Linked DNA regions of Xenopus tropicalis. The protein of the gene in region 4 purifies or fractionates together with the protein of the main gene of each other region. This does not show direct contact. Links are inferred from orthologs where the notes say so. Each region holds a gene or a part of one and is shown on either strand. Other genes may lie near its edges.

What was found.
Region 1: the proteins of csnk2b (region 4) and supt16h fractionate together in Homo sapiens (co-fractionation; 4 studies listed by BioGRID and IntAct, with this or other methods). This does not show direct contact. The link is inferred for Xenopus tropicalis from reciprocal best matches to the Homo sapiens genes CSNK2B and SUPT16H.
Region 2: the proteins of csnk2b (region 4) and nkapd1 purify together in Homo sapiens (affinity purification with mass spectrometry; 3 studies listed by BioGRID and IntAct, counting the BioPlex papers as one, with this or other methods). This does not show direct contact. The link is inferred for Xenopus tropicalis from reciprocal best matches to the Homo sapiens genes CSNK2B and NKAPD1.
Region 3: the proteins of csnk2b (region 4) and hirip3 purify together in Homo sapiens (affinity purification with mass spectrometry; 4 studies listed by BioGRID and IntAct, with this or other methods). This does not show direct contact. The link is inferred for Xenopus tropicalis from reciprocal best matches to the Homo sapiens genes CSNK2B and HIRIP3.
Region 5: the proteins of csnk2b (region 4) and ccnl1 purify together in Homo sapiens (co-immunoprecipitation; 3 studies listed by BioGRID and IntAct, with this or other methods). This does not show direct contact. The link is inferred for Xenopus tropicalis from reciprocal best matches to the Homo sapiens genes CSNK2B and CCNL1.
Region 6: the proteins of csnk2b (region 4) and rps6ka3 purify together in Homo sapiens (affinity purification with mass spectrometry; 5 studies listed by BioGRID and IntAct, with this or other methods). This does not show direct contact. The link is inferred for Xenopus tropicalis from reciprocal best matches to the Homo sapiens genes CSNK2B and RPS6KA3.
Region 7: the proteins of csnk2b (region 4) and zc3h4 purify together in Homo sapiens (affinity purification with mass spectrometry; 3 studies listed by BioGRID and IntAct, with this or other methods). This does not show direct contact. The link is inferred for Xenopus tropicalis from reciprocal best matches to the Homo sapiens genes CSNK2B and ZC3H4.

What each region holds. Positions count from the first base shown.
Region 1 is NC_030677.2:142,081,602-142,085,101, reverse strand, and holds part of supt16h (FACT complex subunit SPT16), read right to left. Parts: intron 2,643-3,500; coding exon 2,567-2,642; intron 2,054-2,566; coding exon 1,884-2,053; intron 799-1,883; coding exon 669-798; intron 1-668. UniProt on the Homo sapiens protein: Component of the FACT complex, a general chromatin factor that acts to reorganize nucleosomes. The FACT complex is involved in multiple processes that require DNA as a template such as mRNA elongation, DNA replication and DNA repair.
Region 2 is NC_030683.2:84,671,412-84,675,443, forward strand, and holds the start of nkapd1 (uncharacterized protein NKAPD1), read right to left. Parts: upstream 2,801-4,032; 5' UTR 2,677-2,800; intron 1-2,676.
Region 3 is NC_030685.2:5,180,814-5,183,026, reverse strand, and holds part of hirip3 (HIRA-interacting protein 3), read right to left. Parts: coding exon 2,134-2,213; intron 1,931-2,133; coding exon 654-1,930; intron 355-653; coding exon 195-354; intron 71-194; coding exon 1-70. UniProt on the Homo sapiens protein: Histone chaperone that carries a H2A-H2B histone complex and facilitates its deposition onto chromatin.
Region 4 is NC_030684.2:74,728,978-74,732,477, reverse strand, and holds part of csnk2b (casein kinase II subunit beta), read right to left. Parts: intron 3,367-3,500; coding exon 3,251-3,366; intron 1,272-3,250; coding exon 1,196-1,271; intron 1-1,195. UniProt on the Homo sapiens protein: Regulatory subunit of casein kinase II/CK2.
Region 5 is NC_030681.2:115,976,745-115,980,935, reverse strand, and holds the start of ccnl1 (cyclin-L1), read right to left. Parts: upstream 2,801-4,191; 5' UTR 2,200-2,800; coding exon of another isoform or gene 2,193-2,199; coding exon 2,100-2,192; intron 1,952-2,099; coding exon 1,847-1,951; intron 1,223-1,846; coding exon 1,081-1,222; intron 744-1,080; coding exon 644-743; intron 1-643. UniProt on the Homo sapiens protein: Involved in pre-mRNA splicing. Functions in association with cyclin-dependent kinases (CDKs). Inhibited by the CDK-specific inhibitor CDKN1A/p21. May play a role in the regulation of RNA polymerase II (pol II).
Region 6 is NC_030678.2:43,846,682-43,850,611, forward strand, and holds the start of rps6ka3 (ribosomal protein S6 kinase alpha-3), read right to left. Parts: upstream 2,801-3,930; 5' UTR 2,483-2,800; coding exon 2,420-2,482; intron 1-2,419. UniProt on the Homo sapiens protein: Serine/threonine-protein kinase that acts downstream of ERK (MAPK1/ERK2 and MAPK3/ERK1) signaling and mediates mitogenic and stress-induced activation of the transcription factors CREB1, ETV1/ER81 and NR4A1/NUR77, regulates translation through RPS6 and EIF4B phosphorylation, and mediates cellular proliferation, survival, and differentiation by modulating mTOR signaling and repressing pro-apoptotic function of BAD and DAPK1.
Region 7 is NC_030684.2:77,131,088-77,135,297, reverse strand, and holds the start of zc3h4 (zinc finger CCCH domain-containing protein 4), read right to left. Parts: upstream 2,801-4,210; intron 2,536-2,800; coding exon of another isoform or gene 2,486-2,535; coding exon 2,414-2,485; intron 1,937-2,413; coding exon 1,835-1,936; intron 1-1,834. UniProt on the Homo sapiens protein: RNA-binding protein that suppresses transcription of long non-coding RNAs (lncRNAs). LncRNAs are defined as transcripts more than 200 nucleotides that are not translated into protein.

The DNA.
Region 1 (3,500 bases), on a different chromosome or scaffold from region 4:
AGTTTTGGGTCCAGCACACAAATTGTAGAGTGCACAAATTTTTGTTTATATCAAAACACATAATCCACTCACTTTTCTGCACACACAGTTTTAAATAGAGGGATCACTTAATATAATTAGTGCGGTTAGTAAGGTTAACTTACTGAAACATGCATTACAACAAATAATGTACCTGGCCCTAGGGTGCTAACGAAGGGGGTTTATGGAAGTGGCCCTTTGCTGAGGAGGCTTCTCCCCACCCCACGAAGGGCTGAGAAGCAGATATATGCAGTGTGCCAATATCCTTAAGCTGGCAAAAAAGAATGGTACCTGGGCACCACCATTGCCAAACTAAAGTGTGCCATATTTGCTAACTGAAAAAAAAAAGAAAAAAAAAAAAAAAAAGAGGGAGGCTGCCCTTAGCAAGCAAGGTTAAGCTGGCAACACGAGGTAGAATTTAGCCAAACCCTTCTTCAGTTTTAAATCCTGTTTCTGCAAATAGGTAGCTAAATATAATTCATTATTCCTGTCTCCTGTCCCCAATAAGGCAAAAAAAAAAAAAAAAAAGTATATTCGCAAAATGAACAGATACAGTATGCCCAGAATAAAGATCTGCTTGGGATAAATAAAAACTATTTTACATATGCAAAAATATAAATTACAATTACAAATGCAACCACCAAACTCACCTCTCCTTCTGGCTCTAAAAATGACCAACCACCTTGTTCAAAGAAACCTTCAGGGTCATCTACAATGGTCTTCATAATTTTTGTCCAGTTTAGTGACTGTACTCCTTCAGTATATTTAATGTCACAGGAGCTGTAGAAGAAAGCTTTCAATGAGAACACTGCAAAAAGTAAAGTTACTAACAACTGTTATAAGCACAGTATCTTAAAGGTCAAGTAAAACCTTTCTAAACCCCATGCCCCATTACATTTATTGTTTTTTTTCATTACCTTTAATATAATGTTGGAGACTGGTTCCTATTGGAGATGGCGAGAAGAACACACTCTGGTTTTCTCTTATGCCCCTAGGAGTATTTGCCATTTTCAATAGACCTTACTCCCCTCAGATCTAGCACGTGTGCACTCCCTATGTTTACTTCCTGCCTGTGTGACCAGAAATGACGTCACTACCATGTCTATGTATATCATGACATAAGTTGCTCACCACAGCAATATATCTTTCAAGTAAAGATTATGGCTAGTTGAAAAACTAAAGTGTGTCCCCCAAGCACTAAAGCTCAGCTAGCAAATGTTCTGCTCTATTCTTTTATAGTACACAGCCATAATTTCCCCCATGCCTTTTCTCAACCAAAATACCTGCAAAAATTAAACACATCATTTTATAAAGCAGATGTCGAAGGTGCTTGCATCAATCTAATAAACACAGGAACTGATTTCCAGGTTGATCAAGCAGCAACCCAAGACAGGAGCAGCACATGGAGGCTCTTTGCTGCCTGACCATCCTATTATTGCTTTGCTTTATACTACTGTAAGAGACACCTAGTAATGACATGTATTCAAAAGTCACTTGTTGCAAAGATATTCCAGTATGATAAACATTAAAAGGGATATTTTAATAGAAAATTCTTGTGTCCCTGTATATTTAAGTGTTTTCTAAATAAAATTAAAATGCCCAAATGTCCCCCAGTCCATATACAGTTGTTCCATGCCTTGCATCACCAGCCTTTCACACAAGAGCAGCACCCCAATTATTTATCTGTCCTTTTGCACAGAGAAGTCTCTGCTGTCCACATCCCAATAGACCTGCTGTTGGAGCATAGCGTGTGAACGTAACAGTCAACATAAACCACTACTGGACCATGTGTAATCAGATTAACAGATACATGAAAAATGTGTTAACAGCAGCACTACATCTTTCATATTCCATGAAACACTTACTTAAGCCATTCTTTTATGGGGTCAAGTGAAGCCACAGGGATTGCATTAATCATGGTGACTTTCTTGCCGTACTCTTTGTAAACAATAACCATGTCAAAGTTTTTAAGATGAAATTGCACTCTCTCAAAGTGTACAAGCTCCACCTCATCAAGCGTAACAACAAATGGGGGCTGAGAGAAAAGAAAAATCAGCAGTTAGAAATGGTAACCTATTTATCCAAGTGCTTGGGCTATATCTATATACCACTTAAGCCATACATCAAACAATCTAGAAAAAAAATGATCAATTGACCACAACTATGTTTGAGATGCAATAACTGAAGAAAAAAAATGGATAGTTCTCAAGAATCTAAACACTTAAAATAAGAAAAAAAAATGTTAAAAACCACAGAGGGGGGAAAGGCTGGGAGTTGAATATAACTGGTAAAAAGGCATGAAAATTCAACAATAAAAGAGCAGGACACTCGGAAGAAAAGGATGTGAGTTAGGGTTAGGATTTATTTGTTTTTATTTGGCGCGGCCTATACTTTTACAGCTACAGCAGTTTGTTTTGTCCTCCTTTCAGTTTTTTAAATACTGGGAGGTATTCTTCTTTTAAAAGTTTTCTATTACGACTGTTAAATGTCTCTTAAACTACAACATTCAAAATGACTTACTACAGTATATATAGAAGATTAAACTTACCCACTCTGTGGTGTTTACCAGTGCACTGCTGGTGGGCTGAAGGAGGCAGGTGCTTCTGTATGGAGCTCCATTGAACCTATTATGGAAAAAAATAAAACTCAGCCCAAAACTGCCTGAAAGTTTTAATCTTAGGTTTATGGTTTTCCCTAGTCACTGTACGTATACCAATCCATGAAAAGTTGAAAAGTATGTAATGCTTTGTATTTTCTACGTTTTGTTGCATTAAATCCAGGGTGTAAAACAGTCCATAGTGGAATACAAAGTCTACATAAGTTTATTAAAAAATAAATGGAAGCATCTAAGACTCCATTAGAATTCACTTCCTTTACAAAACCCCTAAATAAGCTTTGAGCAACTAACTGCCTTCAGACATCACAAAATTAATTCAAGTCCAACTATGCATTTAAAAGTGTAAACACATATTTGAAAAAACAGCATCATTAAGACCAAGGAGTATCATGTGTCAGTATCCAGAATAAATTCTGGAAAATAGCAGGGTCTAAAATAAAATTCCTGGAGCACCACTAAATCAATAGCACAACTGTGAGTCAGCCTAGAGAAAGCTCTCTCCAAGGTTTGGTGACCAGGTAAAAGGGTAACTAGTCAAATGCTGATGGTAACCAGCTTTAAACTGTGCAAACAAAAAGCCATCAATTAGAGACCCATATGAAAATCCTTTCAGAGTTTGCCAAAAGGCATGCAAGAAAACCAGCAAGCACGGCAAAAGGTTCTCTGCTCGGATAAGACCAAAATTTAAATTGTAAACTACCAAACCCTACCTGGCTCTGGATAGACGCAGTCAAATAAAAGGAAATTCTAAAGAAAAAGCCTGTTTCAGTCAGCATGAGACCTGAGACTGGGAGGGAGCTTCACCTTTTAGCCAGACTCAGTGAAAGCTATACTGGAGTGATTTAAGACCAACAAGACTAATGGC
Region 2 (4,032 bases), on a different chromosome or scaffold from region 4:
ATCTGTGAAAATCCAACATAATTTATATTGCAGATCTTAAAGGAACAGTAACACCAAAAAATGAAAGTGCATAAAAGTAATTACAATATAATGCACTGTTGCCCTGCACTGGTACAATTGGTGTGTTTGCCTCAGAGAGACTACTATAGTTTATATAAACAAAGCTGCTGAGCAGCCATTCAATGCACATAGCAGATAACAGATAAACCCCCATTATATTCTACAAAGCTTATCTGTTATCTGCTACATAACCTGTGCATTTTCTTTTTTCCAGCCTGAATGGCTGCCCCGTGGCTTATTTAAATAAACCATAGTAGCGTTTCTGTAGCAAACACACCAGTTTAACCAGTGCAGTGCACTGCATTATATTTTAATTACTTTAAAACACCTTTATTTCTTAAGGCCCCCATACACGAGGCGATAGAAGCTGCCGATATCGGTCCCTTGGACTGACTCGGCAGCTTATCGGCCCGTGTAGGGGCAGAAACGAGGGGCCTGGCTGACCGATATCTGGCCTGAAATTGGCCAGATATCGATCGGCCAGGTTAGAAAATTCAGTCGGATCGGGGACTGCATCGGCTCGTTGATGCGGTCCCCGAACTGACTGCCCCATTGCTGCTGTTATAATTCGATCGTTTGGCCCCAGGGTGGGGATATCGGGTAAAGATCCGCTCGCTTGGCAACATCGCCAAGCGAGCGAATCTGCCCGTGTATGGGCAGCTTTAGTGTTACTGATCCTTTAAGGGCAGGGGTACTTGGGAGCTCAGTCACTAACAGATTTGTTAGACATCACTCTGACTGCACTCCAAGCAGTGCTTGCAGTGAGTACATTTGGCAAAAGACAGTGGCAGTTTCCACAAATACACTCTGCCACCCTGCAGATATACAGACTACATACATTTACACTCTGCCACCCTGCAAATATACAAACTACATACATATACACTCTGCCACCCTGCAAATATACAGACTACATACATATACACTCTGCCACCCTGCAGATATACAGACTACATACATATACACTCTGCCACCCTGCAGATATACAGACTACATACAAATACACTCTGCCACCCTGCAAATATACAGACTACATACATATACACTCTGCCACCCTGCAGATATACAGACTACATACATTTACACTCTGCCACCCTGCAAATATACAAACTACATACATATACACTCTGCCACCCTGCAAATATACAGACTACATACAAATACACTCTGCCACCCTGCAAATATACAGACTACATACAAATACACTCTGCCACCCTGCAAATATACAGACTACATACATATACACTCTGCCACCCTGCAAATATACAGACTACATACAAATACACTCTGCCACCCTGCAGATATACAGACTACATACATTTACACTCTGCCACCCTGCAAATATACAAACTACATACATATACACTCTGCCACCCTGCAAATATACAGACTACATACATATACACTCTGCCACCCTGCAGATATACAGACTACATACATATACACTCTGCCACCCTGCAGATATACAGACTACATACAAATACACTCTGCCACCCTGCAAATATACAGACTACATACATATACACTCTGCCACCCTGCAGATATACAGACTACATACATTTACACTCTGCCACCCTGCAAATATACAAACTACATACATATACACTCTGCCACCCTGCAAATATACAGACTACATACAAATACACTCTGCCACCCTGCAAATATACAGACTACATACAAATACACTCTGCCACCCTGCAAATATACAGACTACATACATATACACTCTGCCACCCTGCAAATATACAGACTACATACAAATACACTCTGCCACCCTGCAAATATACAGACTACATACAAATACACTCTGCCACCCTGCAAATATACAGACTACATACAAATACACTCTGCCACCCTGCAAATATACAGACTACATACAAATACACTCTGCCACCCTGCAAATATACAGACTACATACATATACACTCTGCCACCCTGCAAATATACAGACTACATACAAATACACTCTGTCACCCTGCAAATATACAGACTACATACATATACACTCTGCCACCCTGCAAATATACAGACTACATACAAATACACTCTGCCACCCTGCAAATATACAGACTACATACAAATACTGACTGATACAAGAGGTAAGATGCATCTTATAAACACAAATCCAAGACTTGGGGTAAAATATTATACAACTATACAATTTAGAGTTTCCTGGGAAAGCTCACTAGAGATGAAGGACATACAATGTACAGAAAGTTCCAAAACTTTTTTGTAAGTTAAAATATGTTGAAATCAAATTTGTGTATTGAAAACGGAAGGCAGCGATATTATGAACAGATTTTAGGTAACTTTGGGGAAAGTCACTGACATACTGGATCTTATGAACCCCCCATACACCCTCGCACGCTGAGGGACCCCCATGAGATAGTTGCTGCGCCCCGGCCTGTCTGTTGCTTATACTTTGCAGAGATGTGCAAACTAATGGCCAGTAACTGACTGTATACATATAAAAGACCGGGTGTAAATAAACTGACTTATAAGTCAGTAAAGAGAAGGGGCTAGGGGGCTGCCACCCCCACCCCCTGGATTAGGCCCGGGTACTTATATATTTTATCATTTATTTCTCCGCTAAGGAAAGCTGTGCCTCCCTTCTACCTGCTTCCCTACGAGCAGCCCGGGTATTCTCTTCAGCCAAATGCAGCAGCCCGGGCCCGTCCCTCGCTACAGCAGCCTGTCTGGGGCTCACCGCTTCCCTTTCCTACCGGAAATTCACATCATTTGGCTAGTATGATTAGGGAGGCGGAACGTAAGTAGCAGGTTTTCGCGTCCAGGGAGGGAAGGTTTTTAGTGCTGCACAGCTACTTGGTTTCTATGGGAACCGTGGAATCGCTAAAGAAAGCGCAAAGTTTCGTGTGAGTCCGGCTGGGAGCAGAGAAAGTGCAGGTTGGTGCCGATCTAATTGTCTGCACATCGTGTCCGTCTGCATTTGTCATCTTGTAATCGCAGTGCCCTACTTTGGTAATATTACCAATAGGAAGTATTCACTGCCAATGCAGACCTTCCATTAATATGTATGTACATTACCCCCTCTTATCAGCACGTAGCAATAACCTTGGTATAAGGGATATAGGGGCTGATCTAGGAGTAAAGGTTATGCTAAATTAAGAATAGCAGTTGCTTTTATTTTTTAAGTTGTACTAAAGCCTTTTCAAAACATTTGTCTGGTAAGTTTCTATTGTCAACTGCACTTGCGCAATTTAGCAGCATTGTTTGTAAATCAGCCTCATTGTCTGATATAAAACTCTGGAAATGAAGTACATGGTAAGGATTAATATAAACATCAGGATTTAAATGTATGTACATGTAGGGGTTTACCAAAAACGGGCCCTTAGGACAGGAACCCCTAGGACAGGCCACAGGGTGGTGCTGGGAAACAGGAACACTGGGATGACTGGGTTGTCAATAGTTAAAGGAACAGTAACACCAAAAAATTAAAGTCTTTTAAAGTAATTAAAATATAATGTACAGTTGCCCTGCGCTGGTAAAACTGGTAAGTTTGCAACAGAAACGCTACTATAGTTTATATAAATGAGCTGCTATGTCAACACGAGGGCAGCCATTGAAGCTGGGAAAAAGGAGAAAAAGCACAGGTTACATAGCAGATAACGGATAAGCTTTGTAGAATATAATGGGGTTTTATCTGTTATCTGCTAAGTAACCTGTGCCTTTTCTCCTGTAAATGGCTGCCCCCGTGGATACACAGAAGCTTTTTTTATATAAACTATAGTAGTCTTTCTAAGGAAAACACACCAGTTGTACCAGTACAGGGCAGCATTACACTATATAGTAATTACTTTTATACATTTTCATTTTTTGGTGTTACTGTCCCTTTAACAGGGAGTACACTTGTAGTTCGGGTTATGGCCACAGGGTGGTGCATAGGCCCATATAAGGGAAGCAGCCATGTGCTGTGGGAGAATGTTGGTTAGTCCAGGGACTGCTCCAGTAGTG
Region 3 (2,213 bases), on a different chromosome or scaffold from region 4:
AGTTCCGCCAGTTCTGCTGCCTCCTCTCTCTTCATTCTAACAATGCGGCACTTGGCTAGTGATGGCTGCCCTGCGCGGAACAAACATTGCCTCTTATGAGCAGCTGCCATTCACCCCACCACTCTCTGTGCCCACCCCCTTCTGCCCAACCTCCAGCCCCAGCAAGGTAAGTCATCCCCCCACCGTACCCTCACCTTTAACCCCCAACTCTTCCAGCTCGTTCTTCAGGAGCTGCACCATGGATTTCACCGAGCGGCAGTCCTGGAAGAGCTTCTTGTAGTTCCTACGCGCCCCGCAGGCAACAATGTAGCGCTTCAGCCGCGCCACCGAGGGGTGGTCTTCCCGGGATGAACTCTAGGGGGGATAAAATGGAAGTCAGGCCGTGTAGTTCAGATACAGGGAAGGATTTGGGCTCAGGGTCAGTTGGAAAGGCTAAGGATATACTTGTTCCTTGAGAAACAGAATCTTTGTGAGAAGTCTTTAGTTCCCCTTTAAAGGTAATGCTCATATTTAGCCCATATCAGGCACCATATAACACTTCATATGGGTATGGAATATGGCAGGGGGGTGCCACGGGGATCCCCAGTGCAGATATGGCAGGGGGGGCACAGGGATACCCAGCATGGGGGGGGCACAGGAGTGGCACAGCTCACCTTACTCTGCTTCTTGCTGCTTTTCTCCTTGTCGCCATCAGATGCCACAGAGGAGTCGCTCTCAGTTCCACCATCGTTTGGTTCTTCTTTCTTATTGGCCGATTCCTCACCAGACTCCCTGTCCTTGGCACCTTCTCCTTTCTCCTTATCTTCATCCTCGCTGTCTGTCTCCTCCTTCTTGTCTGGCTGTCTCTTCCTTTTCTTGGCACTGCCGCTTTCCTTATCTGACTTGGCCTTGCGCCCATTCGCTTTCCTTTTCTTCTGTCCTGCGCTCTCTTTTTCACTCTCACTATCGGAGTCTCTCTCGGAAGCACTGCTCTCTGCACTCTCGCTGTCTGTCTCTTTCTTCGGAGAGTTCTTTTTAGGCATCTCATCTTCGCTCTCAGATTGGCTCCTGCCATTATCGCTCTCTCCCTCGCTATCGGCCTTTCTCCGTTTCTGCGCTGCTTTTACCTTCTCTCCCCCTTTCTGTAGTGTAGCGCTCCCTGCACTCTTGGCTCTCTTAGCTTTGCTCTCTTCCTCACTCTCACGGTCGGTTTCCAGCCTGGTGTCTGTCTCTTCTGCTTCATCCTCACTGTCCGAGCCCTTTGATTTGCCAGCTGTTCTTTTGCTACCAGTCTCATTCTTACTGGGACTGTCTGAAGAGTCCATTTCGACTGCCTCCTCCTCATCACTATCGCTCTCTTCTTCACTGTCTGTCTCTTTTTTATTCCTTCGCTTTGCTGGCTCTTTGCCTTGCGGCGCTCTCTTGGGGCTTGCGCTCTCCTTTCTCCTCTGTGCAGGTTTCTTTACTTTGCTTTCTCCCTCACTCCCACTGTCTCTCTCCTGCTTTGGCTTTTTCTTTTGCCTGGTGTCTGTCACTTCTGTTCCACTCTCACTGTCTGACCCCACGCTAGGCGCTCTCTTTCCCTTCTTTGCTGGCTTCTTCTCCCTCCCACCTTTCTGATATTTCCCAGAAGCCCCCTGTTTGCCAGACTTTGGCTTGGCCTGTGGATCACTGTTGGATTCCTCCAATGGCTTTTTCTTTACTGTTCCCTTTGTGCCACTGCTGTCGGACACCTTACTCTTTTTGGTGGGTCTCTTTCGTGGTGGGCTCGGCCCCTCGGAATCACTGTCACTCTCGGTCTCATTACTCTTGCTGTGTGATCTCTTTTCCTTCTCCGACCTGCTCGCAGTCTGTCTCTCAACAGCTGCCGCCTCAGAGGAACTGCCAGACAGTCTTTTGCGGTCGCTCACAAAGGGTTCAATCCCAGAATCCTCCTCATCAGAAGCATGGCCTGCAATATAAGCGGCTTATTACCATAAAGGCGGTCATACCTTACGGAATCTGACCCTTTGGCCAGTGGGCCAAACACACGGCTACTATATGAGCCCCTGTACTACCACCACGAACAGCAGCTCATTTACAGATACCCCATAAGAACCTGTATGAGACTGCTCATGGTGGGCTTCAGCTGGGACATACCCCAGTCTCCCTTACCTTCTGTGGGCTTCCGTTTCTTCCCTGGGGGCTCTCTGCCCCCTTCACTATCAGGTTCAGGAATCTCTCTGCCTCTCTTC
Region 4 (3,500 bases):
CATCTTCTAAAACATTTTCATTTAGATTTTCTTAAAAGGGTGGTTTACTAAGAATTGTCACTGCTTAAAGGGGACCGGTCACCCTAAGACATAACTATTTTCTATATTGTTAGTTAAGCAAAATAAACTTTACTTACGCTATATAAATAATATAAATCTTGTTTAAGTCTTGGAATAACTCAATCAAAGCAAGCAGGCAGGCTCCATTTTGTAAACACTGTTATGAAGACTTTGTATCATGCCAAAATTTTGTTTATGCACCAGAATGGGGGACCAGATACCCAGGCCCTTGCACTGGCTACCCAATTAGATGATGAGGAGGGAGGGGGAAAGTGAGATGTGCAGTGACATCTAGGTAGTGCTGAACAGAAAGCTAAAGTTATTGTCTGCCCTGCCTCTATGCCTAAGGCATAGAGGTGGGGCAAGCAATATATGACTGACAGCTGGGATTTTTAAATGCCTTTATAATGGGTTTGAATGTGTTAATTATAAAAATGAATGTGGGTTTTAGGTTTAATTTGAAAAGGACTTTTATTATACCTCTTTTAATGTCTGGATGACAGGTGCACTTTAAGCTTCTAAACTGGAATGGATTATGATGTTGGTTTCTTTACTATATGCATATTGCAGATTCACCTTCATCTGCTAACAAATTGACAGGCATGCTTGTCATACAGTACAGGAACCACTGTACTGTCATTGCCTTCAGGGCTACTGTGCACGTTGCCCAGTGCGGTAGAAGGTTATTGGGGTGGGACAAGTGAGAGTTCATTAACAAGGTTGCCGATCAGTTCAGTAATGAGTAGTGAAGCAGGAACAGCAGTGGGGAACCTGCAATATGTGTTTTTAATTCATATAGTAAACAAACCCTACACAACAAATAATGCATAACCAATTTTTTTAAAAATGTGTATTTTATTTAGTACAAGAAAATAGCTCTTGGGTCTGCAAGAACACTGCAAAATAGCCTGATTAAAATATAAATATCCCTTTTTGGTTTAATATACCACTGCTCATTTTTTGCCTCTGAATATGTACTCTAGGCTAGGACAATAGTGTGAAAACCCGCAAAATGCCTGTTGCTACATTTTGCAGAATTGAAAATTTAGAGGAATAAGGACCAAAATAAAAAAGAGGAAAAACAGAGAAAGTAATTAGGGCAAATCATTTGTTTGCACTGCCATACAATCCTTACCAATAGGTAGCATGGGCTGGTTCTCACAGTATACTCTGGGACAGTAGCCAAAATCGCCCTGTTGATATTTCTCCAGCTGCACAGAAATACATAGAAAACAGGCTTGAGGAAATACAATACAATTTTATTTAGGTTATTAGTGTAGTAGTTAAAATATTGTGACTACCGTGATTAAACACAGTATCTAACAACTGTATTGCTTTGTCTTTCACATGAAATAACTTCCAAAAAGCTAAAAGTTATACCCCAATTCTAGGTAGAGACTTTAAGTCAGCTCAGGCAAAGAAGCAAAAGTAGAAGCAAAAATTATTTTTAGGTTATTGCAACTTGAAGCACATTTAGTTCCAGCCAAGTTTGATCACTGTCCATTCAGCACTGATATGAAGTACATGTGCCAGAATATCTGAGACGGCATCATTAAGTACATAATGCAGCCCTAGCATTCTGATTTTAGAGGACAAACTCTGCATGTAACCAATCCCAAGGATGCTCTATCACTAAACCATATGCTTTTCAGGAATACAGAACGCTTCTGATGGGAAATCTGAGATAACATCTGGAAAGCTATTCAGTCAGTGTTCCAAAAATATATAGGGCATCTCACAGTTGTCACAGGAGCTCCCCATCTTGGAAAGGGTCTGTGACACACATGCTCAGTGGGCTCTGGGCAGCTGTTGGGAAGCCAAGCTTAGGGGTCGTCACAAATGATCAAGCAGAAAATAAAGGTTCACCTGTCATAGAGGGTGATGCTGATTATTTCTGACGCTAACTGCACTGGATTCAGAGCTACCAAGTATTATGAATCTGAATAAATTACTAATCTGCAATATATTGTGACATTTTTATTCTGTATATACAATATATTGTGAGTTGGTCCCTATGCTCAGTAACTGACAGCAGCACAGAGCATGTGCAGGGAATCAGCAGAAAAGAAGATGGGGAGCTACTGGGGCATCTTAAAGGAGAAGGAAAGGCAAAGTCACTTGGGGGTGCCAAAATGTTAGGCACCCCAAGTGACTTAAATCGCTTACCTTCTACCCCAGGCTGGTGCCCCTGTTAGGAGAGAACAGCACCAGCCCGGGTTACCTGCAGCACTTCCTCCTTCCGTCGCGCGCAGTAGAGTGAAAAACCGAACTTTAACAGAGAAGTCGGCTTTTCACTCTACTGCGCATACGCCTGTCCTTAGTCCTTCCAAAAGCGAAGGTGGAAGGAGGAAGAGCTGCTTTATTTTGTTAGTTTGCATTAAAAGCAATAAAAAAAAAGATTATAAAAAAAAAAATACACAACCAAAAGTTTCCCAGTTTCTATCGGATAGGGTATTTGCTCTTTATGGAGTGCCTTGTCGTCAATGCATAAAATACTCAAAGAAATGAAGCTAACATTCTAACATTACACCATGAAGGACAGCACCAGTTCATAATAGCATATACCCTAATCCCAATCACTCTAGGGAGAACAAGCTACTAACAAGTGGGAGTGACCCAAAATATACAGAGTAAGCCAGCAAATAATTGATTAACTCATGTGACCCCTATCAAAGTCAAAAAAGCTGCAGCTCTACTCATTGGTTTGAATGGGTATCTGAAATAATGACCCCCCCATGGTGCTACAGACTGCAGGTTGTGCCCCCCCCCCACATCATCCCTTAGAGAAATTCCTTCTCCCTATACTCTAAATCCACAAGCATGGAAAAATCAGTAACAGAATACTTAATTACAAACATATAAAATTGCTAATGCATGGAAAAATCAGTAACAGAATACTTAATTACAAACATATAAAATTGCTAATTCAGTATTATTTCTGCATCTAATCGTTGTGGAAATAGGGCTAATTATAAATGTAACTACAGAAAGCACTGCTGTGGATATTAACTTGCTGGTAAATAAGCATGTAAAAACTGTGCCCCTTGAGCCTGCATGCTTCTAAACATTTCATATACCAAAGTGAATTTGGAAACACTATAAATAGCCAGTCAGCAGTATTTTTATCATTAACATTAAAAACTAAAAATACAGCTGCCTAAAATAATATCATTATCAACAACACTCTCACCATCTGGGCAATGCCACGGTTAGTCAGTATGTAACGGGCATGGATCAGTCCATATAACATCTCTGCGGCTTGTTCAATGAGGTCACTTTGATTGGGATTATCTTCCAATTCCTCATCTGCATGAGAAAAGCAGAGAAATAAAAACAGATTTGGTGTAAAAGGGACCATTGTTTGCACATATAAATAAGCAAGGACAGCTGGGCATGTCAATATTCAATGTAAACTTAGAAACAATTCTTCAATATGGACA
Region 5 (4,191 bases), on a different chromosome or scaffold from region 4:
TCTCACTGGGTTCCATGGTATATCTAATGCCTTGGAATTTCTTTTGTACCCTTCTCCTGACGGATATCTTTAAACAATGAGATCCCACTGATGCTTTGAAAGCTCTCTGTGGACCATGGCTTTTGCTGTGGGATGTGACTAAAAAAATGTCAGGAAAGACCAACTAGAGCAGCTGAACTTTATTTGGGGTAAATCAGAGGCACTTTAAATGATGGCAGATGTATGCCGACTCCTATTTAACATGATTTTGAATGTGATTGCTTAATTCTGAACACAGCTACATCCCCAGTTAGAAGAGGGTGTGCACACTTATGCAACCACATTATTTTAGTTTTTTTGGTTCTCTTCCCTCCACCTATAAGATTTCAGTTTGTTTTTCAATTGAGTGGTACAGTTTATAGGTCACATTAAAGGTGGAAAAAGTTCTGAAATGATTTATCTTTGTCTCATTTGTGTACAGCACAGGAACCTGACATTTTATCAGGGGTGTGTAGATTTTTTATATCCACTGTATAAATATTGAACATTCAAGTTTTTAACCATAATTGAAAAATTGGGAGTTTTAGCACAAAAACATTCACAGTGTAATGTTAAGTCACCCCCAAGTACCAAAAACATTATAATTCCATGGAGACCAGCCTACCCGTTGTAGGGGCTCTTAGAAGACTGCTTGTCATCAATCTCCCGCTTAATTTTTGCTGAACTCGGGGATTTGTCTTCAGTTTTCACATCTCTTGGAGATGCTAAAAATGGAAAGCAGAAACAGTTGTCTAATTAACAATACATAAAAGAGGTCAACAGCACTTTCTCAGTCTATGGGACAGAAGCCTACATGGGGTTGGAATGTTAGAAAAAATGGGGTCACATATTTAACAATACATTTTTAAAATAAACGTATGTCATTTCATCAGTCAAAAATCCCTTCATGTAACAAGAAGTGTAACCAGAATGAGTGCTATAAACATGCAACTCCCTAACCTGGCAACTAGGTACTGGGCTTGGGAGAGGACTGCTCACTGATACAGCCAAGGAACATTTACCCAGTTTTGTTATAGAACACGTATAGACAAATCAACTCACATGGTTTAGATGCAGGAGAGAATCCTCCTATTGATAAAAGAGCTGGAGTTCCATCGGGATTCAGCCCTTTTGCTTTTAATTTTGCTTCCTGTAGGGCTACTTTCCTTTTTTCTACTTCTTTTTCCAAAAATTCATAGTTCGGCTGTTAGGAAATTAGTGTAGTTAGAGTAGTTTTTTTAAATTGATACAATATTTACATTTAGTTGTTTTTGTTGTTGCACGTTTTAATCCCTGATTAAAAAACAACCTAGCTTGTGAATTACTTTAAAGAATAAGGAAAGCTCAGAAAGTCAGAAGGGCCAATTTGTAAGGCCCCAAGTGGACTCCTCCTTTAAATGAATGGTGGCACCATATAAAATTCTGTGCCAATGGTTCTATGAAACACCACAATAAACCAGAAGGTGCCTCAAAAATTGCCTCCTCTGACCTGACTTTGTCCTTGTCCTTTAAAGGAAAACTATACCCCCAGAATGAATACTTCACAAAACAGCTTATATTAAGTGACCTATTAAAGAATCTCACCAAACTGAAATATATATAATCAGTAAATATTGCACTTTTTAATTCTGATTAAAAAAAACAACTTAGCTTGTGAATTACTTTAAACACCAGGTAAAGTTGCACTAAAAAACAATGGCACCAAACTGGCAGGGGTGGGTGATTATTGCAAATCGATTGCTTTAAACATAATTAACAGTATGCCAGTTAAAGCAAGTTTGCAATTCTTGATGCTACTTGTGTGAGCATGCCAATAAACAGACAATACCTTTTTCCTGGTGTAGAGCCTTAAAGTGGTTATACAGATATCTTGAATGTTTTCTTCAGTAGCTCCAAAAAGTAAAAACCAGTGTGGTCTATTTGGCAAGGGTAACTAAAGGCAAATACAAATCTTTAGTTTGACAGCATTTTCAAGGTCTGTTATAAAAAAACAACTTGTACAGTAATAAAACTATTATAAAAACACACAATTTAGTGATATCACATGATCAAACATTCTGTAAACATTGAGAAGAATTTACCTGCAAAGCTCTGGCAGCAAGATAAATACACGCACAGGCAATGGTTTCTGCCTCAAACCGTACAAATACATTGGTCCGTAAGCAATCATTCATGTAATTCCTGAAAAACAGAAATCATGTGGAAATATTACAAAGGGTTTTCTCTTCTGGGGGACCAGGGAAGTAAGACAAGCACAACCAGTCAGGGTTTAATGCTTCAATATATAATGCTTCTTCTCCTCAATGTGTGTCTTAGAGTTTATAAACACTTGAGAGCTGAGCTGTAGCTGAGAGGCATCACTTTACCAGTTACCAGAGAAAAAGGCACACAGGGCTCTAGATCTAAAAGACGATTTGGCACAAACTTGTCACCTGAATCTAATATGATGCCCAAGGGAAAGTCATTTCCACATAGATGCTAAGTTTGTTCTATGGATATATGCCAGCCACATCCAACTCGCTCTGTAAGGGTGTAAGCCCCATGTTAACCCCCTCTCAGGTAAAGCTTGGAATAAAAGTCACCTCAGTTGGATCTAAAATGGCCAAAGGGTAGAAGCCAGAGTGTACTTTGGTTGTGTTTATAATTCTAATACACAGCTGAATTATTTAAATTTAGTTCACTTGATGTAAATGTCCTAAAAAATAAAAAGAGTTCTATGTATAATATAAATAGCCTTTTTCTGGTGAGCATTTTTGCAAACAATTGCTTTAAATTCTCTACCTAAAATAAAATGATACTACTTTCTAAACCCTTACAGAAGTCAAATACAAAGGGTATATTTATAATAAAATCAAGTTTACAAAAAGGTGTCAACAAGCATATTTGCTGTGCACGTGTAATTCCCTGACATATAGATCATCTTTACAACTGAAATTAAGCACAAAATATATTAGGAGCCTAAAAGAATCCAGTTACAATGTTAATGTTTTGACACATTCAGGTTTCCCCTAAAACCTACAAAGTGGTAATGGGTCAGAAAAAAACAAATTGACATATTGATTGTATAAATGCAAGTATGCAGAGGCTGATGAACTGTGAAAATAAAAACCTAAGCACAAAAATAAATGCAATTATCATTTAACAGTCATCATTGCATAAAGTGATAATGTACATTTTCATGTACTTTTGAGGGGGCAAATATACTGTTCAACAGGAGCTTAATATACACATATAACAAAGATGAAATGGTGCTGGTTTCTGGGTGCCTGGACAGAGTGCATGTACATTATAAGTATTAGCGAAGTGGGTGTTACCCCTTCAGCATCTGTAATGTGCATTTGTGCAGTCCAGACACTCAGTTTTGGTCAGGGATGAGATCACTGCAGTGCTACTGATCACCCCAAAATGCCTTTCCACCCACAAAAAAAGTGAAACAGGAAGGTAAGGCATAAATGCAAATTTACTAGAAGCATAATCTGACTGAAGAAACTTGGAGTTGCAGTTTTATGTCTGAAAACATAATACACTATCTAGGTGAATCACAAACTGACTCCTGTGTAGAGAGACTGCCAAGAGGGCGATGGGGAACGATTACAATTATTTTAGAAATGGAACTGAATATTTAATTTAATTTATCTATAAAGTTCCTTGTTTCCACAAGATGAAGCTCTTTTTTTTCCCAATAGTTCCCTTTTAAATAAAGCTCAATGAAGAATTAGGCCATAAATGTTTTTCTTCTTTAGCAGCCCAAGGTGACTACAGCTGTTTAGCAGTGTAGATAAATCAACAAACTTGCCCCCGTTAACTCCCCATCTTTTCTGCAGATTCCCACAGTATGCTCTGGGATCCTGACACTTACCTAACCTTAGATACCAACTCACAATACACAAAAACCTCTTTTTGCTTCTTAGATGATGGACACCCTGTTAGTTTCTCAACCGCAGCCCACAAAAAGAGCATGTGCAGTGCCACTGACAATTAAGATGGGGAGCTGATGAGGAAATTTTGAAGGCATTGGCCAATAATGTGTTGGCTAGCACAGTAAATTCAGTATATAAAATATAGCATTTCTAGACAGGCTTTAGTACTCGGTTCAATGCATGAGACTACTTGCCTGCTCCTTACGGTTGTTATATCTAAAAAGCTAGTATGTATATCAGTTGTGTGCTACTA
Region 6 (3,930 bases), on a different chromosome or scaffold from region 4:
CTTTGCTTAGAAATGCTGCCTCCTCCATCCCAGAATTCCCTATTTGGTGGCAAATACATTCAGCAATGGTCATCAGGTTACAGAGGAATAAGGAGAAAAACGTCAGAGAAAGGTCAGGAATAGAATATTTTGTTGGCTCAGTAAAAGAATGAGAACAGCAATAGAAAAAAAGAGAAATTTGCGTGCATACACATAAGTAATTAGTTAGCAATATATTGTTCAATGGAATCTGCATTGTGAATTGTAAATATTATATATATAAAAAAAATATTTGCATATTTACATTTGAGACCCCCAACCCAGAGTGCATATAAAATATAGAAAGCTTTCCAGAAAATCACAGTAATTTTACTGACCAAACCAGCTCTGTAGCTTTCAAAAGTGACTGCAGAGACAACTAAGAAGAGAGCAAAGATTGATGCACAGGAAGAGGCAAGAGACAGTTTATTTAGGGACTTCCTGTACACCCAAGAACACACAAATACTAGAAGTGCTTCAGCTTCCCACCAGTTACTAAAAGATGATTTCCTAGGTTCCGCTAGAGGTGGCGTGGGCTATGCAGCAATACCAATAATCTGAGTCTTTAGTGTGCATTACCCCTTTAGGTGGTTTTTGAGAAATATGTTTGTGTTTACTAGAAATGATACACACTATATTTATAAATACAGGTGCAAAGATACAATGTATTCTGTTCCATTTCCTTTGTTTTGGATATAAAACAGATGAGCATACAGCTTAAGCTGCTGATGTACAAGATTTCAAATGTTAAACATATAAATTATAAAGCCAGGTTCTATATATCAAACACACTACCCAAACAGGAACAACTGATCCCAAATGAACCGATATGTGTGTGTAATTAAACTGTAAGGCAGACGTATGCGCCATGCCTTAAATTGGAGGTTTTATAAAGACAATGAGTATTAAACTTGCCAAATTATCTTGGAACGCTTCCTGTCAAATTACTGAACGGCATTGGCTGCCAGCACTTTGTCACATCGTCACTCCTTTCCTAGCCCTCAATTAGTCATTCAACCTTGAATCTCTAAAATCTCCTTTACCTGCAGCGCAGTACCTTTGCTCTGCTCACTTGCACACTATCAGGCACTGCCCTGTGTGCTTTCCTTCATTTCACTTCTAGTCCCTGCAGTATAAAGTGAAAGACACCTCCCTTCGTCCTTCTATATTTACAACAGAGCTTATGTCTTAATTGCCCACATCTGCACATTACAAAACCTACAAATGCCAGTCTCTTGCAGCCTCTTATCTACAGAAACATTCCTGTTGCAAGGCATAAATACGTGCACTAGCACAATTTTTTTTATTTGGTCTAACTGCCCTTTAGTGAATGGCACAAAATAAACCCCACTTGGTCTATCACTAACTATAAAAGGTAGGGGTGGGTTTCCAAAGGCAGGGGAGACAAGTACAGACCTGTACATGGCTACATTCTGCCATTTGCTGCCAGTTTTCTACCAGTTCTTTCAGCCATTATGAATAATGTGGAGAATTATTTAGAGGGTTAATGAGATTCTATTAATAGAATGTAAACATTCCGAGAAAGGGCTGGAATTCTAGGGTCATATACATGCAATTTGTTATCCAATAACCAATTTAGCTATAACGTACATTACTAATTCTATGGCTTCACACAATATTATAGGAGGCTGAACTCTTACTTAATAAGAAATAGACAAAAACACATAAAAGAAAAGAACTAAAAATATAAATGCGTCTTAAATCCACTACCTCCAGGTCCTTAAAGGGCAACCCCACCCAAAAGTAACTTTCCATTCTACATTAAACATTTTCAGTGGCTTTATAGACATCTCTTAATGTTATCAGTTTCTGACTGTTGAAACAATGTAGCAGGTCAACTCTCCAGGTTTGTTAAGGAGCTGGAGTCAGAACCAGAAAGGCAAAGGATTCCGTTTTCAATAGCAATTATGCTTGAAAATAACTTTTAACTAAAACGTTTAATGTATATTAGTTAGTTGTTCAGAATAGCATTTTCTATTATTATGCAAAAAAAAAACATTTTCAGCGTGGAGTTCCCCTGTAACTCAATTGCTACTTGGCATTCCCCACCAAGAGCTGTCAGTGAGTGCTGCAAGATGGAAAGAGTTAAACAGCCCAGAGATAGTTATGTTCTGGCACTCCCGCTATTGTGTTACTACTACTCCCAGCATCCTCTCAGAAACGCAGCTGGTAAGAAACGGAGCTGCTAAAAGTTGAAGCTGGAGTGCCAGGGAGTCTGTACTACTGCCCGAACTAGATAGCCCGAAGCACTCACACTTTCATACTCATTCGGGATGGAAAGAGATAAGTGCCGATCAGGCGGAACCCTTCCCTGTGAAAGGACTGTGTCCCCTTCTCTCTCTGGCCGAGATACCCGCACCTTCCATTATTTGTATCTTACCTCGCTTCCCACTTTCTGCACCGGCACTTTCTGCCACGGGTCTGCCAGCTGCGCCAGCGGCATCTTTTCAACCCGATGTGATTCCAGCAATTGTCCCCAAAAATCACCAAAGTGACCGAGCTCCAGTCCGCCCCCCTAGAGTCACCGTGAGCTGTCCGGTACTGCGCGGCAAGCCAGAACCACTCCAGCACAGCTCTTCTCCCTTCTCTCACTCACACAGATCTTTACTTCCTCTCACAACATGGCGTCCCCAGCGGTACCTGCCGCTCGCAGCAAGGCACGGTGCGCGTCACCCCTACGTCACATGCAGTGGGCGGCCTTCCCCTCCCTTCAGTTCGGAGTACAGGTGACAGTCGGGGGAAGAGGATTCTGGGTAAAATTGCGTCATAGGCGGAATGCCTGCCCTCCCATGTTAGATGAGTCTCCGGTTACGCAAATGAATAAGGTTTCAGCTAGACGCTGTGTCGTGGTTGTGTGTGGGTATATGTGTGGGTATATGGGTGGGTATATGGGTGGGTGAGCCCCGGTTCCCAGCCTTGACTTCCGTTCTTGTATACAGATTCATGCCTTTTTACACTCCTTCGATAAAGAAAGATTTGGCCAGTGTTTGTAGCTCATGTAAGCTTTGCTCATGCCTTCAGTGGATGTAAGGGAAATGCAGTGCTTATTCTATAAATGTAATATCTCCGGTCTCTCTCTCTCTCTGTGAGTGACAGCTTTCTTTCTCTCGCAGGATGTCTCTCCGGCAGTCTGTACCTTGCGCAATTTGTGCGTGTTATCTCTTACATAGGGGCATATTTACAGAGGTTGGCATATTGTTACCGAAAATAAAAATTTGCCACAACGTTGGCAATTTACTATAAAGGATTATAATTGTTTGTGAATCGAAACAAAACATTAACCTCATTTCGCCAAGGTAAAAATTTTTCTAGTGTGAAATATTTGCCAATTTATGAATAGCGCAGGAACGAATGCTAGCCAAGAGAAATGGCTCCAGGTTTAGGCTAGCAAACTTCCATTATAATGACACCTTGGCCACTTTGCATCTCATTTTCTATGTTATCTCTTCCATGCTAATATCCCACATGTCATTTATTCTCTAGCAAATTTTAACCACTAGAATTGTACAGGGAAAATACAATGCTTTAAAAGAGTACTTATGCCAAAAGAAAATTTGTACTTATGATTTTTTAGTAAATATGAGATGTTTTGTGAAAATATGCCACACTTGAGCAAGGGGGATCCCCAACCAATATGTTGCGCATCAACTTTTTATTGTTGCTCCTGACTTGGGGGCAAGATTTGGTTGAATAAAAACAAGATTTACTACCAAATAAAGCTTCCTGTAAGCTGATAGTGTGCATAGAGGCTGCCTAATAGCCAATCTTAGCCCTTCTTTGGCACCTACATGAACTTTTATGGTGCTTGTGTTGCTCCCCAAGTCTTTTTACATTTGACTGTGACTCATATGTAAGAAAGTTTAGGGACCCCTGCCAGCGTTGGTAGTTAGG
Region 7 (4,210 bases), about 2.4 Mb from region 4:
ACACCTGGGTTGGAATGTAGGATGTTTGGGGGAAGGTGTGTAACACATTTGAAAGGGTGAAATCCCATGATATTGTCATGGCATCTGCTGCCAGGGCCAAGGGCTCTTTGCAACCGGCTATTAAACAGGACGCCTTGTTATTTTGTCTGGATACCATGAGGTCCACCTGTGGTTGACCCACCAATGTTCTGAAAGACCTCTTGGTTTACAGACCATTCTCCTGAATCTAGCAGCTGCTGCCTGAGGTAGTCAGCTTGCCAGTTGCCTAGCCGTGGTATGTATACCACTGACCATGTGCACACCTACTGGTGCCTCCCTGATTGTTCAAGATCAGGCTCGAGGTCGAAGTCTTGGAAGATATGGAGGGACGAAAAAAGCGGGAAAGGATGTACAGGACCCAAGTTTGAGGTAGCAAGGTGTTTTCCCCCCTGTGGCCTGACTGATAATTTTATCTAGCTCGGGTTCTAGAGGAGCTACCCTTTGTAAGGGACTTCTTAGATGAGTGCACCGGGTTGCCACCAAAGAGCAGAGGTAAAACTGGTTACTTGTACATCATCAAGAGCTGCCTTGCAGATGTAATCATTGGCTTCATTAATTAATCTGTAGAGCTGTAGTCAGAAGTTCTTGTCTGGGAGTGCCGGAATTGATACCTTCTGTGAGGAAAGTGGACCAAGACCAAGGCCCTGCTGACCCAGGCAGAGGCCAAGATAGGATAGAGAGATTCACCTGAAGTGGTGAAGATTGATCTAAGGAGGCCTTCTCTGGGTGGTCCCACTTAGCATGAATGATGTTACCCAATTGAGCATGGAAAGGAATAGAGAGGATTCCTTTTGTCTCTTAAACAGAGACTGAAGAATCAGGTGTTGATGTCAGGTTTTTGAGATCAAGGCAATGTAGGACTGTGCAAATTAGGTTATCTAATGTTTCTGAGAAGGATTTGTTTAGATCTTCACCTGCCTCTTCCTGGTCTACTGCCTTAGGCCCAAGTCTATCAAGCAATTTGTCTAGGCATGCTGCCAATTTAGGGATGTCAGTGGACAACTGCAGAGCCCACATGGGGGGGATCTTGGATGGAAGTAGAAGGCTGGGCAGGCACAGGAGAGGTGTCCCCCACAGGGGCTTGAGCTGTGGTGGGAGCAGGGAGATCCTGAGCAAGGAAAGGTGCTTCAGAGGACTGATTAGTGCAGGAGGAGCATAAGAGGTCCTTGGGCCTAAAGGTGGCCATACACGGACAAATTCAGCTGTCGTTATCAGTTCTTTAAGACCGATTCGGCAGCTTATCTGCCGTGTATGGGCCCCCCAACAGGCCTACCCCATCGATATCTGGCGTGAAATTGGCCAGATCTCGATTAGGCAAGTTTGATTTTCCATAAGATCAGGGGCCACATTGGCTCTTTGATGTGGTCCCTGATGGGAGCAACATCCAAGGGATTGGGGAGCAACATGTTGCCCGAGTCACTGGTTGGGGATCACTGACCTAAGGCACACTGCTGGGGTCTAGTGGTGCCTAGTGGTGGATGCTATACCCTATGGTTCCTGTGTCCCACAGACATGCCAGAGAAAAGACTTGCCGCCTCATTAAGAGAAAACAATAAAAACCTTTTTTAAGGTTGCATCTTATAAACCAGTTAGACATGTGTACAGCAATGCAATATATTCATCACTCATATAAAAAAAAGTATCAAGATTTCCATGACTAAACCCTTTTAAAGCCATAGAAGTTGCTAGAAGACTAGAAAGTAGGTCAAAACAACAGTCTGATAGGCTGTAAGCTAGTTAGCTAATCTACTGTGCTACTATATAAGTTTATTAGGCCTATAAGTAAAATCATTACCCAGGTGCAGCGGCCTTCTACAAAATACTTGCAGACAACTTTCCCTTTTTTATCAGCCCGATGGTGTGGCTTCTCATAATCATTTCTATACATTCCTCCATCCTAGAATGAGAAAAAAAGAATCAGAAATATACAGTTTGCTTAATTGAAATAAGCTGATTAAAAAAAAATAAATGTTAAAAGTAATGAATGACCACTGAAACAATATGAAAACTGAAGAATTTTCTAGCCTACAGAACTGTATTCATTAACTATATTACCATTCAATCAAAATTGCCACAAGACCTAAATGTTCTTATTCTAATATTAACACACAAGCACCATCTCTGCAGTCTAAGGCACACAAACTGCACAACTCATCAGAACCTTCATTAATCACATCTCATTTCAGTGAATTGACACTTTTAATGTCCATTGCCATGTATCAGTACTAAGTAAATCAGGACAGAAACTGCATTTTAACACCCATTCAGTTTTGATATTGTACACAGATAGAACAGCAATCACAGGCATGATATAAATGTATTTAGAAAAAAAAACCTGTGATTTTATGATTTATGTCTTGAATACATAACTTACACCCTCTTCCTCATAGTATTCATCCTCATCATTTCCCTTCCCTCCTCTGCCTCGTCCTCTTCCTCTTCCCATGATTTTGTATCCCCTTCCACGTGGGCCCCGACCGCGGCCTCTATAAAATCCTGTAAAGGAGGTTAAAAAAAAAAAAAAAAGATCATCACTTTCAAATACCTGTAATGGATTAAACTGCGGTTTAAACTTTAAACTAACGGTCCATGTGTTCCAAAGAAATATCTCCTTTATTACAAAAAAAAAAAAAATACAAAACTTCAGGTTGTAAGATCAGCAGCTTCAACAAAGCAGTGCACAGCAGCACTATTTACATACAGCTTTGAAAACACTCAGAGGTCAACAATCACTGTGTGACAAGACTTATCAAGAGCTCACCTCGACCTCTGCCCTCTTTTGCCTTCCGATACTGGTTAAGTTCCTTGGAATAATCGTCATACTCTTCATCTTCCATTGCTTCTTCTTCACAGTACTGTAAGCAACACAATCCACAATTATATCAGAGTAATAAAAATGCAGGTCTCTACATTTTCAAAATGTTTCTTTAGTTTTTATTTAACAGAAATTCCATAATTGTTTAACTTAATTCATACTGTTAACCTAACAGCTAGAAAAAGAATGAAGCCCTGTAAACAGGTTGAGTTGATAACTTTTAGATTCATTAGCTTAGCATTGATCAAAAAATATTGAAGATGAGGAGCACCTTCCATTGATCCAAAGATACCACAAAGGAGGTTGTGCAGGGTAAAGAAAATTACGAAAAGTGGGCAGGCACATCTACATCCAAATTCGATAACATCACCTGTGCCAGTGACCTTATCGAATTTGAATGTAGATGTGCCTGCCCACTTTTCTTAGTTTGACATCTCCATTGGCTGATTTGAATTATCTTTGGTTATAAATAGACGTGCGTTATGCAAACACGTTGCCTTTGACAAAGCCCTTATTTGTTGAGGGCAAAAAGCATGTCAGGCGCTTTTTAGTTTTGTTTAGGCAGGACTTTACAACGTTGAACTGAGGGGGTGATTGGGTGCTAGTAGCAGGGGTGGAAGGGTGTTGATGCTACCTAGTGGCCCCAGGCAGACTTGACTTGTAATATGGGCTGGCAAGCATAGGTGCTTTGCTGATGGTATTGCATCGCCAGGGAGAGGCCCATTATTGAGATAAGAATGCCCTGTTATATAATCAGATGCCCAAATATGCCCACAGACCAAGCTACCCTAGCCTATCACCTAATCCTGGCAAGAACCTAATATTCATCACATGCCAATTTTTGGCATATAATGAGGTAATAATTTGGCACCTAAGAAGAAATTCACAGTCTTAGAGCAGCTACATTCATAGTATATAGGTAGCTTGTTAACTGTTGATTTACTAGGTTGGCTTTCAGTTGGTCCTTGTCTAAATCGTGATTTTTAATGTAAATTTTAGCTTCACTAATCTGTCTTAGCACAATTTATTTTTATCCTTTAAGTTACATTTTAACAGGGTAATTAAATATGCTATCAATGTGAAAGAGCGGAAGGTGCAACACTGTAGGTCATACTTTTTTCTTTCCCTATTTTAGTTTAGCATTGATGTCTTCCAATGTTTGGTGGGGGCCTAGGTTTCATCCAAGGCACAAGCTATGAAAAGTTTATGTACATTCTGCCCATGCTTGCTTGGGTTTCCCCCAACAATCCAGAAACATTCAGACAGATTAACTGGGTCTTGATAAAATTTACCATAGTTTGTGAATGTGATATGGACTTTAAATTTTAAGCTCCACTTGGGCAGGGTCTGACTGAT